2 linked regions of the Drosophila melanogaster genome follow. The gene in region 2 interacts genetically with the main gene of each other region. Each region holds a gene or a part of one and is shown on either strand. Other genes may lie near its edges.

Region 1 (8,014 bases), on a different chromosome or scaffold from region 2:
CTTTAGCTTTACGAGTAGTTTTGTTAAGTGTTTTCCTTGGTTTAAGAGTTAATTTAATTCGAAAGCGACTTCAACTATGGGGTAAACATGCACACACTCATTGAAATTTTTGCAACTTACAATTAACCATTTGCTAAAATCGAATCCGAGTTCATATTATACAAATATTGAATATCTCTGCGTGTACGCAATATACATATACATATATCTGATGTAATTTAGTTATCGAGTGCTCGCTTCGGCCGGAAATCAGCGCAATGTCTTAGTTTATATACAGGAACTTAGAAGGTATCAAAGGACACGACACGACGAACATTATACGACAAAATTTATCCTAGACTGCGGAGTGTGTCTTCTTGTTTGCGGAGCTGTGAGGGGTCCGAAAATTGTTAAACAATTTCAATTTGTGTTTCAAGAACATTTATCTGGGTCTAAAATGTGTTCTGCTGCTCAGCCTAACTCAGCCGCCTTGTGGCCGCTCTTAATTGGATAGGTATGGTAAAATCTACTACTCGAACGCGTGTATTCATAATTTATGCGGGGTTATATTCACTGACGTTTAAGTATATTCATATTCATAATTTATAGTTCGGAAAATTCATAGTGCTCGCCTAGGCTAATGAGAGCGTTGAGAGAAATACGTACATACATATATTTTCGTACAGTTGCGAATTTCAAGTGCATCTGCTACTGCTGCTGCTTACTCTTCATCTTACTCGTATCTATATTCAACTACCGAACTAAGCTGCATTATCGTGTTGGGGCTTGGATCTCTGGGATCCGTAGAACTGACTTAATAATAAACTGCATTTGCATCAACGTCGGTTGGTCACACATCAGCGACGCCTGCGCACTTCTGGGCAGTTGCTCATCCACATCCTTGCTCCTCATTGTGGTCACATATTCCTATCCCGCATGCTAGAGATCTCTGGTTTTTGTACATTTAACCGACTGAACTCGGCCTGGCTGGAATCGCCCTTCCAATCGCTGGACTAGCATGGAAAGTCCATGGCCAGCTCGTTCTTGATTAGATGATGGTGATTCGGATCGGACATGGGGTTGGGATTCGAGCTGGGGTTACCCGAACTCGGATTGGCTAACTGCTAGTAGGTGGCAAAGCCCATGGCGCCAGCGCTGCTGTTGTCCAAGGGTCACTGGTGCATCTTGGCGGCATGGTGACCCATGTTCAGGCTAAGGTTCAGGTGGTGGCCGCTGTGGTGCTGCTGGGTCGCCTGCGCGTGGTTGTGGTTGCTGCTCGAATTGTTGTTGTTGTTCTGCTGATTGGCCTGGCGCTGTGAGTTCTTCTTGTTCTTCATGCGCCGATTCTGGAACCATATCTTGACCTGAAAGGAACGCCTGTTTAATGAATTCAGTTCAAGTCAGTAGGTTTATGGACTCACCTGTCGCTCGGTCAGCTGCAAATTTCTGGCCAATTCCCAGCGCTTTTGCTTGGAAACATACGCATTGAAAAGAAACTCCTTCTCCAGCTCCAGGGTCTGGAACTTCGAGTACGGCTTGCGCTTTTTCCGGACGGACACCTGACCGGTCCACTCGTGCAGTCCGGGATTGGGCGTGCAAGGACCCACTGCTCCCACGGATAATCCACCAGAGGCTCCTGAAAACATCATCAAGTAATGGGGTTAAACTACATGGTTAACTTCATTAAACCGCAAGTGCGGGTGGTCCGATGGTTTTGTTGCTCGGTGTTCGGTGCAATATCAGATCGTTAAGTTTATAGAGCAATTACGGAAATTGTTTAGCAATAAGCGTAATACGAAATTATTCAATTCCTCATTTATGGCCTCTTAATTGGTGCGGTACGGGGAGCGGAGCTCCGAATTGGCATGAGGCCCATATTCACACTCGAGTGGATAACACTAAATGAATACATTCGTTCCCGCTCATTGGCCGACCAAATGAAGCAATTAAATTAATGTTGAAATAAAGTGACAAGTTGGATTTATTTTAATTTAAACGCTAGTTCAGCACGAGTGAAGAGCTTTTCGAATCTAATCTGATTTCTTCGATTAGTCTTGGTAGCATTGAACAGTTAGGACAGTTAGGTCAGATTGGAAATTAATTATCGAGCCTAAGAGACCTGAATTCCAATTGTAAAATTGGCTGGCGAGGTCACTTAACTGACATATTCCGCCATAATAACGAGTCTTTACTATGGATACCATGGATACTACTGGGAAAATATGACTAGTCGACAGATACAATTCTGGCAGTTGAAAAACACCTGGTGATAAGACACGAACATAAACAGGCAACCCCATAGAATGCAAACCCCAATGACTTTCGCACCCACATAAAGGCGTAACGCTAGCCAAATAGCGAGTATCGATTTATGGGCCGTTTTGCACTACGCTAATTGAACGACAAACTTGACGGTTTCGCAATTTGCTATTTCAACCGATACGACGACGAAAAGTCTAGTGCACATAGGAAAATCAAATAATCTTGAACTTTATATTGTAGGATGCTTAATATTTTAGGGCTGTTTAAATAATTGGCTTGGCTTTTAGGAAAAAAAATAATAGCACCATATAAAAAACACTTCCAAATAATTATCGATTCATTGGAAAATTTGACGGTCTATAAATATATATTTTACAATTAAAAACATTTAGGTGGAATTTGAACGCCTCTTTTTAAACAGAATTTTGAATTCGTATAATTTTTCACTTTAATTTAATTTCATATGAATAACCAAATATTTTATTAAAAATTTTAAGAATTGTAAACAGTAAATTTTTAATTTTTAATCTTTAAAATTTCTCCTCCCAAACTAGAGTTGCAAGATGCTCAAAATTATTTCCAGTGTGCCTAACCTCGTTACCCTTAAGTGTGCCGACTCTGGCCGGTCTGGACTCACCTGAGCTGGAGTAGTTCTCGCTGGGATAGCCGCGCAGGCCGCCTGGCGAGGAGTAGGTGGGCGGCTCATAGCTGGACGTCGATGTGCCCTCGACGGACTGTCGGGCGGCGGCGCTCACGTGGCGCTCCGCTTCGTTCATGTAGGCCGCCGCCGCTGCGGCAGAGGTGGTCTGATCGGGGCGGTAGTTGGGGCCCCAGTACTGCTGCGGGGGAGAAATGAGGTCGGGTTGGAACGAAGTTGCTTACAACTGATGTGGAGGCGTGGGTGGCGCTGTGGCCATACTTACACCAACCGGAAACTGCGTTTCTGGGTAAGGATAGGCGAACATGTGCTTGCGGTCGTAGTACCCGGAGCCGTAATGCTGATTGAATCCCTCGTCGTTGTAGGCCCAGTGTGCCGTGTGCCGCTTGACCGCCGCCGAGGTGTCCGTCTCGAATCCCGGACCGGCCCGGATGGCGGGTATATGCAGTGGCGCTAATTGTATGGACATATTGATGTCTGAAAGTAAACGATAAGCGCAGATTTGCTGCTGTTAATATTGGCACTAGGGCTGGTAAGTCTAATTTTAACGACTGTCTATGATCAAATCGACCTCCTTGATCATTTGGCATTTTATCACTTGGCGTGGCATTTGTGCCTATAACCCTTAGATTGTTTGTCGATGTCATGGATGTGGGTGCATTCACACCTCGTCTATATATAAATCTGTATATTTAACACGTGTCAACACTTAAGGTAATAAAATGGTTACCATAACGATTACGTTTCAAATCATCGTTTAATTTTTTTTTTTGTGTAAACTCTTTAAAAAAAAACCAATGCAGTTTTGAAGAACTTCAGTACACTCACAAACAATATTTTTAAAAATTTTTAATTTCCTTACAAAATTAAAGTTGTTACCACCCTGCAATTATATAGTCTATAATGATAAAACAGACGCAAATATTTTGAGTAAATAAATTAAATGCGTGACGATTCCTGGGAGAGTTAAAGAAAAGCCTTATCAGCCTTGAAAAACGTGCTGCAATCAGCACAACTGAAACGTTATTGCAACTGGGGGGAAAAAAAAACAAGTGGAACGACCCCGTTCCCAATTTAACGTCCCCAATTTATTTCGAGAGTTTTCCAGTTCAGATGTAGAAAATTTCAAAAAATATATTTCCCAACGATCTTTGAAAGCCCATAACCAATGGAGTTCCAATAAGAAATCCGCTGGTTTTCAACCCCAAGGAAAGTTATATTTCTGGGACCTCACCTTCCTTCTGAGAACTAACACTGGAGGGAGAAACACTCGCCGTGGTCGGCGCAACGATCTGCGTCTGGCCAGGAGCAACTGCAGCATTCTGCTGTTGCTGCTGCTGCTGGAGATTCGAGGAGGCGCCGCTGGCGACACTGTTCGGGGTTTGTTGCTGCGGCAGTTGCTGGTGGTGGGGCGATGTGAGATGTTGCTGTTGTTGGGCGGAGGGTCCAGTGGGTGTTTGGGCAGGACTGAGGGCGCCGGCCACCGGTGTTGTCGCCAGCTGTTGTTGCTGCTGTTGCTGCTGCTGTTGAAGTTGCTGCTGCTGCTGCGGAGCGGGGAGGTGTTGCTGCTGTACGGCGACAAGTGGCACAGGCGGAGGATCCTCGTACATAACCGCATGCGTGGGCGTGGAATGTGTGGTGGGAGTTGACTGCTGTTGCTGCTGCTGGAGCACCGAGGAGGGTGAGGAGGCGACGACTGCATGTTGCTGCTGCTGTTGCTGCTGCTGCAGGTGGGGATGCGCGCTGTGGTGATGGCTGGTGGTGTGGAGAGGCTGAGGCAGGTGGTGGTGCGCATGGTGATGCAGTTGCTGCAGATGCTGCTGCTGCTCCTGCAGATGCTGCTGCTCCTGCTGCTGCTGCTGCTGTTGCTGCTGCTGCAGATGGTGCTGCTGCATGACGGGCAGGGAGGGATGCGCCTGGGGATGCGGATGCGGGTGCGGGGCGGTGGGTACGTGGGTGTGGGTGTGTGTGTGATGCCCCCACCACGCCCCGGCAGCGGCGTGCGACCCGACTGCCGAGACATCGTGGGGGTCGTAGAGAGCGCACGCCAGCGGGATGGTTGGGGTTTGGGGGAGGGGTGGAATATTTACGGTTATCTTGGACGCGTTGCACTCGAACTGCGGCGGCGAGGATAAAGGCGGTGCAGTGGGGTCGATCGCCTCGACCCACCGACCTTTCTCTGTCTTTTTTTTCTCACTCCTCTGAGTGACGCCTTTCTAATTGTTTAAGTCTCTTTATATTTTTTTCGCGACTTAATAATTTTTATTTTTAATATTCAGAGCACCTTTACTCGAGTTTTGCCCCTTTTATTTGCGTACCGCACACGCACACAAACGTCCGTCAGCGGTCACACGCACACGCCGACTTACTCACACACGCACACTGCCTAAAGAGCGGGCGAAGAGAGTAACTTTGTTGTTGCACAGGGGATCGAATCAGCTTGAATTTCACAGGGTGCTTGCGGTCGTCAGCAACTCACGCAGTATTTTCAAATTGGCTTTTTTCAGTTTTCATTCGGTCAATCCAATTTTCCAAAACTTTTCCAATTTTTCCTTTGTCAGTTAATGTTTTCTTTTCACTTTTCTTTTTTTTTCGGTTGGCGTTTGTTTTTGATTTTCTTCTCTCTTTTATAATTATCATAAATAGTTTATTATTTGTGGGGCCTGCAGTCGTTGTTGTTGCTGCTGCTGGCGTTCGCTTTTTATGTTGCTGGTCATAAAATTTGATTTTACGACCAAAACAAACAATTAAAGGCAATGTTTGCAACAGTTAACAAAAATGTTATTATTTCTCCTCACAACGCCGGCGACACGATGTTTTGATTGTGTTTTTTGTTTTTTGATTTAATTTTTTATACGACTCCAAAAACGTTTCTTCTTTCAGTTAAATTTTTCGAAAATGTTCAACTTGTATTTTTCGAACCGTTCGAACGAAACACTCCCAGTCGAATGTGAATGTGAATGGACGGCGAGTACGAAATCGTTCAAGTCCCAGTCCTCGACGAAGTTGCAGGGCCGCTTGCCTCGGCTGTTGTTGTAGTTGCTGTTGTTGCTGCTGGACGCCCGCGCGCCTTCCAACCGAACAGAGCGAAGCACAAATCTACACTGACGGCAGCAACGCGCACGGCGACAACATATCCACATCGCTGGCACGGCACACCGACAACACAAGACCAAGACCAGAACCAGAACCAGCACACGAACACAAACTCTAAGCGCAGCGGCGCCAGCCCGCTCCAGTGTGTGTGTGTGTGTGTGTGTGTGTGTGTGTGTGTGTGCCTCCCCGTCCGTGTGACTTGGAAGAGAGCGCGGACATGCGCATGTTGCACAAGCACTCAGATTGATGGTGGTGGTGGTTGATGTTATGTTGATGGCAGTTGGTGCGGCTCTCTTGTGGCGCGTTATGCACACGTACACTGTATACAGCGTCTGTGTGGATCCCAGACTGTCAGCGAGTGTGCGTGTGTAAGTGGGGGGAGCCGAAGAGAGTTTTGGATGTTGCTGGGGGAAATAGCACTGTTTCAACTAGCGCCTTCAATGAGGTAAAGATGGTATCGCACTTCGACTGGGACTGGCTCTGGAATTCGCTGAGCTCAGCAGGTGCTCCAAGTCACAGGGGGTCATCGAGGGCGAAACACACACGCACAGTGTACGTGTGAAGGCATCCGCTCTTCAACGAACAAAAAACGCTCTCAGACTCACCGCCCGCTCTTACTGCCCGATTCTGGGGGCTGATTTGAATACTTAACACGCGCGCACCACAGCGCCATCTATGTCCGAGATTTCGATGGAATGGGGGCGGGGAGGCGTGGTAGATGGCACCACATTGTGTGTAGTTAGTTGGCTTGTTGTTGGCGCTTTTTATCGATTACCACAACAGCAGCAACATACAGAAAAACTCACTGCATAAAGACCATGGATCGCGACCAATTATACGAGTCGTCAAGCGCAGTGACTAATTAATGCTAATTAGTTAAACAAATACATGCGTGCGCCAGTTCAGTCAGCAAATTATGACAGCCCAATTGTTAGGAAACCCCGGGTCTCTTTTCACCCCTATCTCAACATCCTTTCTCCCTTTTGGCTCTTCTACAGATTCCCCTCCTTGTCTCACTTCCAAAGGCAGTTGCCAAATTTTACGCTGCAATGGACAATTATGGGAATTTTATGGCAATTGCCATTGGAAGAAAAGCAAAAGGCACGCAGTCGAGGCCAAGGAAATGTTAACAAATCGTAAAAAGGATGCGATGAGAACAACTCTCAACCCGTTTGACAACAAAATGTATGTACAATCGCATAAAAATCCATACTTAGCAATTACAATAATACATTTGAGCAGGGGCTTAAGAAAATGTCAGAAGTCATCGCGACTGGAGACGAATAATATTATTTCTTATGTGAAATCAGAACATTCATTTTTAATTTTTCACATCACGCATTTAGTTGAAGAGTCCAACTGCTTACATAACAAAGTTGATCAAGTAAACCCCAAAAAAACTTCAAGAATTCTACTTATAATAATACAAAACTTGTAATTAACTGCCGCAATCTATTTCCAAAAATAACTTCTTCGATTGAAATTATTATTCAACTTTTTTATTTATAAATAGAAATAAAGTATGATTGACATTTTTCCTATTGAACCACTCTGCTAACACGCAGAATTATTTTAAAGGGATAAACTCTCTGCACAATAGCATTTTATAATTATTAGTAGCATTTTAACGCCTTAATATTACATATTTAAATACATATCTGGCTTAAACCGGACTAATTATAATTTTAGCTTACCTGTGGGATGGGAACTGACGCTGGAGGGAGAAATGCTCGCCGCTGTCGGCGCAACGAGGTGGTTTTGGCCGGACGCCACCGCTGAGATTTGTTGCTGGGGTGGTGCTTGGTGGGTCTGCACCGCTGCTGAATGGGGATGGATCTACTCCACCGGTTTGCTCACTTCCAGTGACGCGTTCTGCAAAAAAAAAAAGATGCAGAAACTTGGTAAGTAAACCACAGCAAGGGCCATCAATAAGGACCGCCTGTAACCAGGCGCCACTCATCATCGCTGGCTATTTTCTCCGGCCTGTAAGGAAAAAAGTAAGAAGAGCCTAAAGATGCC
Region 2 (6,719 bases):
GTCTCATAAAACACAATCCAAAATTAGGAATGCAGTTTTTTTTTCTTTTAAAAATGAGCGTAGACTTTTAGAAAATGATTTTTTGGCACTGCACAGATATTAGCGTATGCTCCGAAAACCGAATCCCATCTTTGTAATTCCCCACTGTGCGAACTTACCTAAATCAGAGAATAAAGCGATGAGGCTGCAAGTCGACACTCCGAGAAGTGCTTGAGTACTTCTTTTCGTTCTCGATGGAAATCGGCACTACAGAGATTGAAGAATTTTTTAAGTTTTTTTTTTGTGTTTTTGTTTTTACGAAATAGACCACATTCAAGGATGGCTGAGGATAATTTTTTTTTTCTTTTTCCCGTTTTGAACGTCTGGTGCATGTGCCCTATCTGGCGATCGAGTACCTAATGAAGCGGTGTGAGGCGTCGGTGCCTGACAAGCTTCAAAGCGAAGTGTCACTTTGGGCGCCTACTGGCGTGTCCTGAGTAAAATCTTAAAAGATTTGACATTTCGGAAACATTTATTTGGGCATTATATACTTCATTAAACATATTTCGATCTGGTTTGGCCAAACATTTACTTGGCTTGAGAATTAGTTTGCTTTCAACTCAATTTTGATTTTTCGTAGCATTTAATAGTTAAACATAAAACGTACTGGCTTAATTCATTATTGTGTAGTTTTGCCTAGACTATGGGTGAAAATTATTGAACTAGTCCTACATTTTATTAAATTTGTGTGTATGTATGTATATCAATTGTTTTTTTTTTGTATGCATGACATGATTTGTGAGTTTTCCCATTTGAAGGTATATTTTTCAAAAACATACATGGGCGTGGCGTATCGCTAAAGTACAGTACTGAACTTAACTGAATTGTTCTCATTATTTAATACGTTTTCATTCATCAGCGAATTTTACATAGGCTTCCAGATTAATCTTGTAATACTTTTACCAATTTTGTGAAAACTTATTTATGTTCTGCTGCAACACTTAACTGCCATTGCACAATTATAACCTGTATTCAGTTGCTTTTTGCTTTTTTTTCGTTTTTTTTTTTTACAATTTAACATTTTATCGCTTTAATGCTGAACCAATATTTTGAACAATCTTTTTCTATTTTGGCAGTGGGTTGGTAATAAACTTTTAAACATTAACAAATAAAGAGGCCCGTAGTTGGCAGCGTTCATTAATACATAATAACGAAAAGAAATGATAATGGAAATGAAGAATATAAAATTCATAATGAGTCGGTATGCCAAAGGGTTCAATTTCCAAGCAATCCAATCGCCGTTGTCGCTGTATCTCCGCCCCACTCCACCAGGTACTGGACCTGTCCATTTCCCATGCGCCGCTTGGCCCGAATGGCAAAGGGCTCACCAGCATCTATGCGATTCATAGCGCCACCAAAGTACTTGTTCACCGACTGCTTCAAGTCCAGCATGGAATGTCCTGGGGCTCCAATGCCGTTGCTGCTGCTGCTGGTTGCCGTCGAGCTGGTGGAGTTCCGGCGGCTTTGGCTGGGTGACTGCTTCTGTGGTCGCTGGCGCAACAGGCGCCCATGTGTCGGCTTTCCCATTGGCGGCGCGGGTGGCTGCAGATCTTTGGCATAGATAGGAAGGTAGTGGCTGGGTATGGGATTGATGGTGGTGGTGCTGATGACCTATTAAGTGGAAACGAAAAAAACATCTCAAACATTATAGTTACATTGTTGTTAGTTAAACTCTTACCTCAATGGCCGTGGTCAGGCGGCGAGTGCGTCGTCTGCGCACTTCCTGATTGGGCCCTATCGTAATGTCTTTGGCACTCAGTCTTCGCTTGATGGTGCGCACCATGCGCGGCTGCTCCTTGGAGGTGCCCTTAAGCTTGAAAATGCTGTTTATGATGCCATTTACTCCGACTCCAGTTCCCACAGAAATACTTCGTCCCTGCGACGCCTTTTTGGGAGTGGCCATAAGGAATGGATTGTTGCGTCCCAAAAAGTTGACCGGCGGTGGTATGATGAGGTCCAACGAACTGGTTCCCCGACTGCTGCTTGAATTCTCGTCGGATGATAGATCACAGTGATTGCGGCTGTTGTCATAGCGTTTGGACAATCGGAAAGCCTTGCGCTTCCGACTGCTGTTTGCGTCCAGCAGAGGTGGAATGGGAGCTGGTAGTTTGCCGGGATCGCCATCGTTGGCATTGTCGTCGGCGAGGTCCGGCTTCAGTGGCAACTCATCATGCTTATCGGCCTTCTGAGCGGCCTGCTTTTTGGCCTTCTCAATAATCTGTTTGATGGGTATTTCGTCCTCGCTGGTCTCGACTGGGTCATCTTCATCTGTATTAAACTCATACACATCTTTGGGAACTCTTTTCGGAAGCTCGTTGGCACCTTCATCAGGCTCCTCGGGCATGAGCATTAGTTTAAATCTTTTTTCGAGCAGCTCATCGGACAGCTCCTCGTGGGGCTCAAGGAATACCTTGGGAATGTGTGGCGGGCCACTGTGTCTCAGTGCATAGAAGGCCGGAGCCCTTTTAAACTCCCTGCCGCAAACAAATCTGTCAGAGTAATCCTTAAGGGTTTGCTTGAGACGCTCCATCAGTGCCGTTTCGGGCAGTGTGCGCCACTTCTCGCAGATAGGCAGCTGGTGGCGCTGCTCGAGTATGAAGGGCCAAATGTCATTTAGCAGGTGATGGTACTTCTGGTGCTGATGCTTTCGCAGATTGTATAGTGCAATGTGGAGCACATCCACCCATTCGATTTGCATACGACGAACGAATTCTATGCCATTGTTGCAGACCGTGCAGCAGAAAACAAAGAACCTAGACAATGAGATTCATTTCAGTTTAGATCACAGTAAAGCAATTGAATACGTACATATCGCCGCGCAGCAGCTTCTTCTTGAAGTTCTGCATGCATTGGGTGTGGAACCAGTTCCGACATTTGCAGCACTGCAGCATATTGTGATCGAATTTTCCCGGTTTGCCGCAGTAGCAGTAGATCTGCTCTTCGTTGACCCGATGCTTCTCATCCCAGCTGAGCTTATCCGCCTGTGGGTAAAACCGGATTAAGAATCTAATCCGCTGGCTTGGGTTCGTAGAATACTCACATGGTAGGGCAACTGGCGACAAATTCCCGCTGGTTTTGTGATCTTATGGCTGACAGGCTGTTGCATTTTCATGGGTTTAGCGCAGCGTTTGCAACTCCAAATTCCACTGCCAGTAACAATTTCAACGGTGCAACCACGATGGTAGCCACGTCCGCAGCGCTCGCAAATTTCGACCACATCTTCGATATCCGATCGCTTGCAGGCCACGCACATGGGTCCACTGGGGGAGGTATTCGTGGATTCCGTGGTAGAGGCACCGCCTCCGCCAGCGGTAATCGAGCTACCGCCACCTAGCTTGCGCAGCTTATCCGGTTCACACCATTGCTCCGACTGGTCATCAAAGCGGATAAGATATTGATCGCTTGTCTGGTCAATAATGGTGCCCAGGTAAAATCTGCCATCGTTGCATTTGATGAAGACGTCCTCCTGAAGCGCATACGTGACCGCTGGCGAGGGAGCGGCAACTGGTGGTGCCGGCGGCGGTGGTGGTGGTGATGGAGGTGTTGGCGGCGTTGGCGGTGCTGCTTCGACGGTCTTGAAGCTTGGCTTCATTGAGTTGACGCCTTTGAGCAGCGATTGCGTGGCTAGTAGCGGAGGCGAGGGCGAACTTTTACCGGGTGAACTCATGGCCTCCGGCGTAGTTGGCGGTGTCTGTGGCGTTGTGGTCGTAGAATCCGGCTCATCCACAATCACAACTGCTGCTGAGGTGGTCGCGGTACCACTATAACTGCTGCTGGATACAGAACTGCTGCTGCAGCTGCTGCTATCCGCCGTGCTGCTGTCGATGAGGGGCAGGATGGCCTTGTGCTGGATGGCCGGTATGATGGGCGAAGGTTGTTGGGCCGTGGTAAGCGATGAACTTAGCGAAGTGGGCGTCTCCGTATAGTGGTTATTGATGCAAATGTTTATGCGGTCTAACACGACGGTGGAGGGCGGTGAGGTGGAATTGGTCACAGGCACCAGCGGCGGCGGCTGCAGTTGCTTGCCAGTTCCGCTGGCCGCCAGTAGATTGATTTGTCCCGCAGTTTGGCCACCGCCACTGGGCAAGTAGTACGACTGAACGGGAGCATATGTGGAGTGCGCTTCCTGTGGCGGCTTATTCAGACTGTATACACTTGGCGCCGTCGAGATGATTCGTATGTTGTTGGCCTTGAATGGGCTGCAGCTTGTTGCCGCCTGTTGCTTCGGTGGCGTTGATTGCTGAGCGAAACTGTTCGTGATCTGGATGGTGCTGGGATGTGTGGGATGCGTGGTCTGCGGCCCAGTGGTGGCATAGTATCGCTTGGCCACCGTGGCAGGTCCTACGCTGGGCGGCAGGATCTGGTAGGTGGTCGTCATCCACTGCGGCTGCTGGCCAGCTGGCTGTGCTAAGTAGCCGTAGGTGGCCGGAGGAGCTGATGGGACAGCGGTACTCGGCTGTTGCATGAACGGATGTGCCACGTTCTGCGGTGGATGATCGTGTTGCAAGTGAAAATGGTTGTTCATCATTGCGGCTGTGTGTGCGTGCTAGATGCGTTGATTTTTCCAGTGCGCAGTCTTTTGTGAAAAATATGGATCTTCAGTTCGATTTGCCGGCTTTTCGCGGCCCGTTTTTTCATTGATTTTGCGATTGTTTCCCGCTGATTAACACGAGCTCATTAATCTGGCGCCTTTTTCGTCGAATTTGTTGTTGCCCGCCGACACATACATGCACACTTTTGCTACACATACGGACTGGAGAGCGGGCCCTTTTGTATTCTCTGTGTCTTCCTCATTCGTACTTTTCCACACGCACCACAGGCACTTCTAGTTTCGGTTGCCGATTTACCCACCTTTAAGTGTGTTTCGAATCGTGCATTAAATTAGCATTTTGCTCTTATTGATTCGGCTATCGGCTTTGAACGTCGTTGTCCCAAGTTCATCTTTAACACCAGCGAAAATGCACAAAACAAATCACTTGAAAATTAATTTGTGTCAGCCATTTTTCAACATATGCCCACCAGTGTGACCGCATCCAACAATTGTTCTTTTCGTTACATTTTCATATATAAATCTACCACAACTTATGTATGTTATGGTAATAAAATTAACTTGATTAAAATAAATAAAGAAATATTGGAAATTTGTCACCACAATTTTACATTTTTATATTTTTAAATATATCGAAACGTATAAAATATACCATAAATTTACTTAATTATCCCCACTGTGCCGGCAAAGACTCAGCGGTCTCGTCCTGGAAAATACTAGAAAATACATTTAAATATTTCCTAAAGATTCAAAAACGTTAATATCATACATAATTTACATTTTAAATGTAGAGTGACAATTATTAAATCAAATTAAAAAAAATAAAACTAACATTTATATTAAGGTAAAACTTTTTGATTGTCAAAGTAAATCCTATAGAAATTTCAAAATGAATGTTAATTTTTTTAGTAAGTATGCCCTTTGTATGCTTTTATGTACAACTTATCTAAAATCAAACCAACTAATTTTAATTTTAACTCATAATTATCTTAAAGATATCAAATAGAAAATACCAAATACTAAAATCCCTATCCTTTGGTCTGCCGTATTAAAATCGACAGTTGCCTATCAATTAATGTTATGGGTACACATATCAATACTAGCTTTAAAAACAAATAACAGAATTTGATAAGTTTTTAGTATAATGATCATCTAGTAATTGGGGTCAATTATATGAATACGAAGTTGCGCGCCAGAAAATACTAGATAAAAACCAGAGGACCAAGCAGACAGCTAGCAATGGTATATATAGCAGCGAACTTTAGTTCGATAGGTTTTTACCAAATTGGTCACGCTGCGAACAGAAGCAATTTTACTTGACGGAGGTTTCATTAAATTTTCACTTGTGAATAAAACGCGAAAAAGCACTTAAAAACCGAAGAACTGTGTAAAACAAAAGCGGTACGCCAAGAAAGTGAAGTGTAATAACTAAACTAAACAAGTAAAACGCGAGTTTTTCACTTCGCGAAAGGTTTGTGAGCTGCAAAATTGTTAAGGTAAGTAGGTTGAGCAGGAGAAGAAGAACTGGAGCTCCATTTGTGCAAGTTGGTGGCTCGAATGACGCACTTGGCTGCAACCGAAAACATTCGATTCGATCAGAGCTGCAACTTTCACATCAAAATTGTACCCATATGTACATTTTACATATGTATGGTGTACCTGGACACGCACACTGATTCCCGCACCCATACACACACTTAAACACACACACATACAGCGGCGTGGAAAAGTGAACTGTAAACTGGAAAAAAAGCGTTTGTGTTGGTGTTGGTGTGCAGTGAATTCATTGAGTAGTACTCCTTTCCAGGCTGCTGGTCACTTTATGTCCAGGTCGCGTTCATCCGCTAAAGCCGTGCAGTTCAAGCACGAATCGGAGGAAGAGGAAGAAGACGAGGAGGAGCAGCTGCCTTCCAGGAGAATGCACTCTTACGGAGACGCCGCGGCCATCGGAAGCGGGGTGCCGGCCTTTTTGGCCAAATTGTGGCGCCTGGTGGACGATGCCGATACCAATCGCTTGATTTGCTGGACCAAGGTAAGCCTACGCCGCCATATTGTTTATTTACCTTTCCAGGGACTCCCCTCCCACCACATACCGCTAATCAGCATGGCAACAACAATGACTTGGCCATGC

The links.
Region 1: of Pcl (region 2) and Abd-B, changing one enhances a phenotype caused by changing the other (phenotypic enhancement), as found in Drosophila melanogaster (2 studies listed by BioGRID).

The regions. Positions count from the first base shown.
Region 1 is NT_033777.3:16,928,238-16,936,251, forward strand, and holds the start of Abd-B (abdominal B), read right to left. Parts: upstream 6,006-8,014; 5' UTR 4,795-6,005; coding exon 4,134-4,794; intron 3,377-4,133; coding exon 3,165-3,376; intron 3,081-3,164; coding exon 2,879-3,080; intron 1,616-2,878; coding exon 1,401-1,615; intron 1,344-1,400; coding exon 1,152-1,343; coding exon of another isoform or gene 993-1,151; 3' UTR 1-992. UniProt on the Drosophila melanogaster protein: Sequence-specific transcription factor which is part of a developmental regulatory system that provides cells with specific positional identities on the anterior-posterior axis.
Region 2 is NT_033778.4:18,133,772-18,140,490, reverse strand, and holds Pcl (polycomblike), read right to left. Parts: upstream 5,066-6,719; 5' UTR 4,568-5,065; coding exon 3,080-4,567; intron 3,021-3,079; coding exon 2,848-3,020; intron 2,793-2,847; coding exon 1,718-2,792; intron 1,651-1,717; coding exon 1,255-1,650; 3' UTR 501-1,254; downstream 1-500. Other genes in the region: Hsf (heat shock factor), read left to right, coding at 6,411-6,620. UniProt on the Drosophila melanogaster protein: Polycomb group (PcG) protein.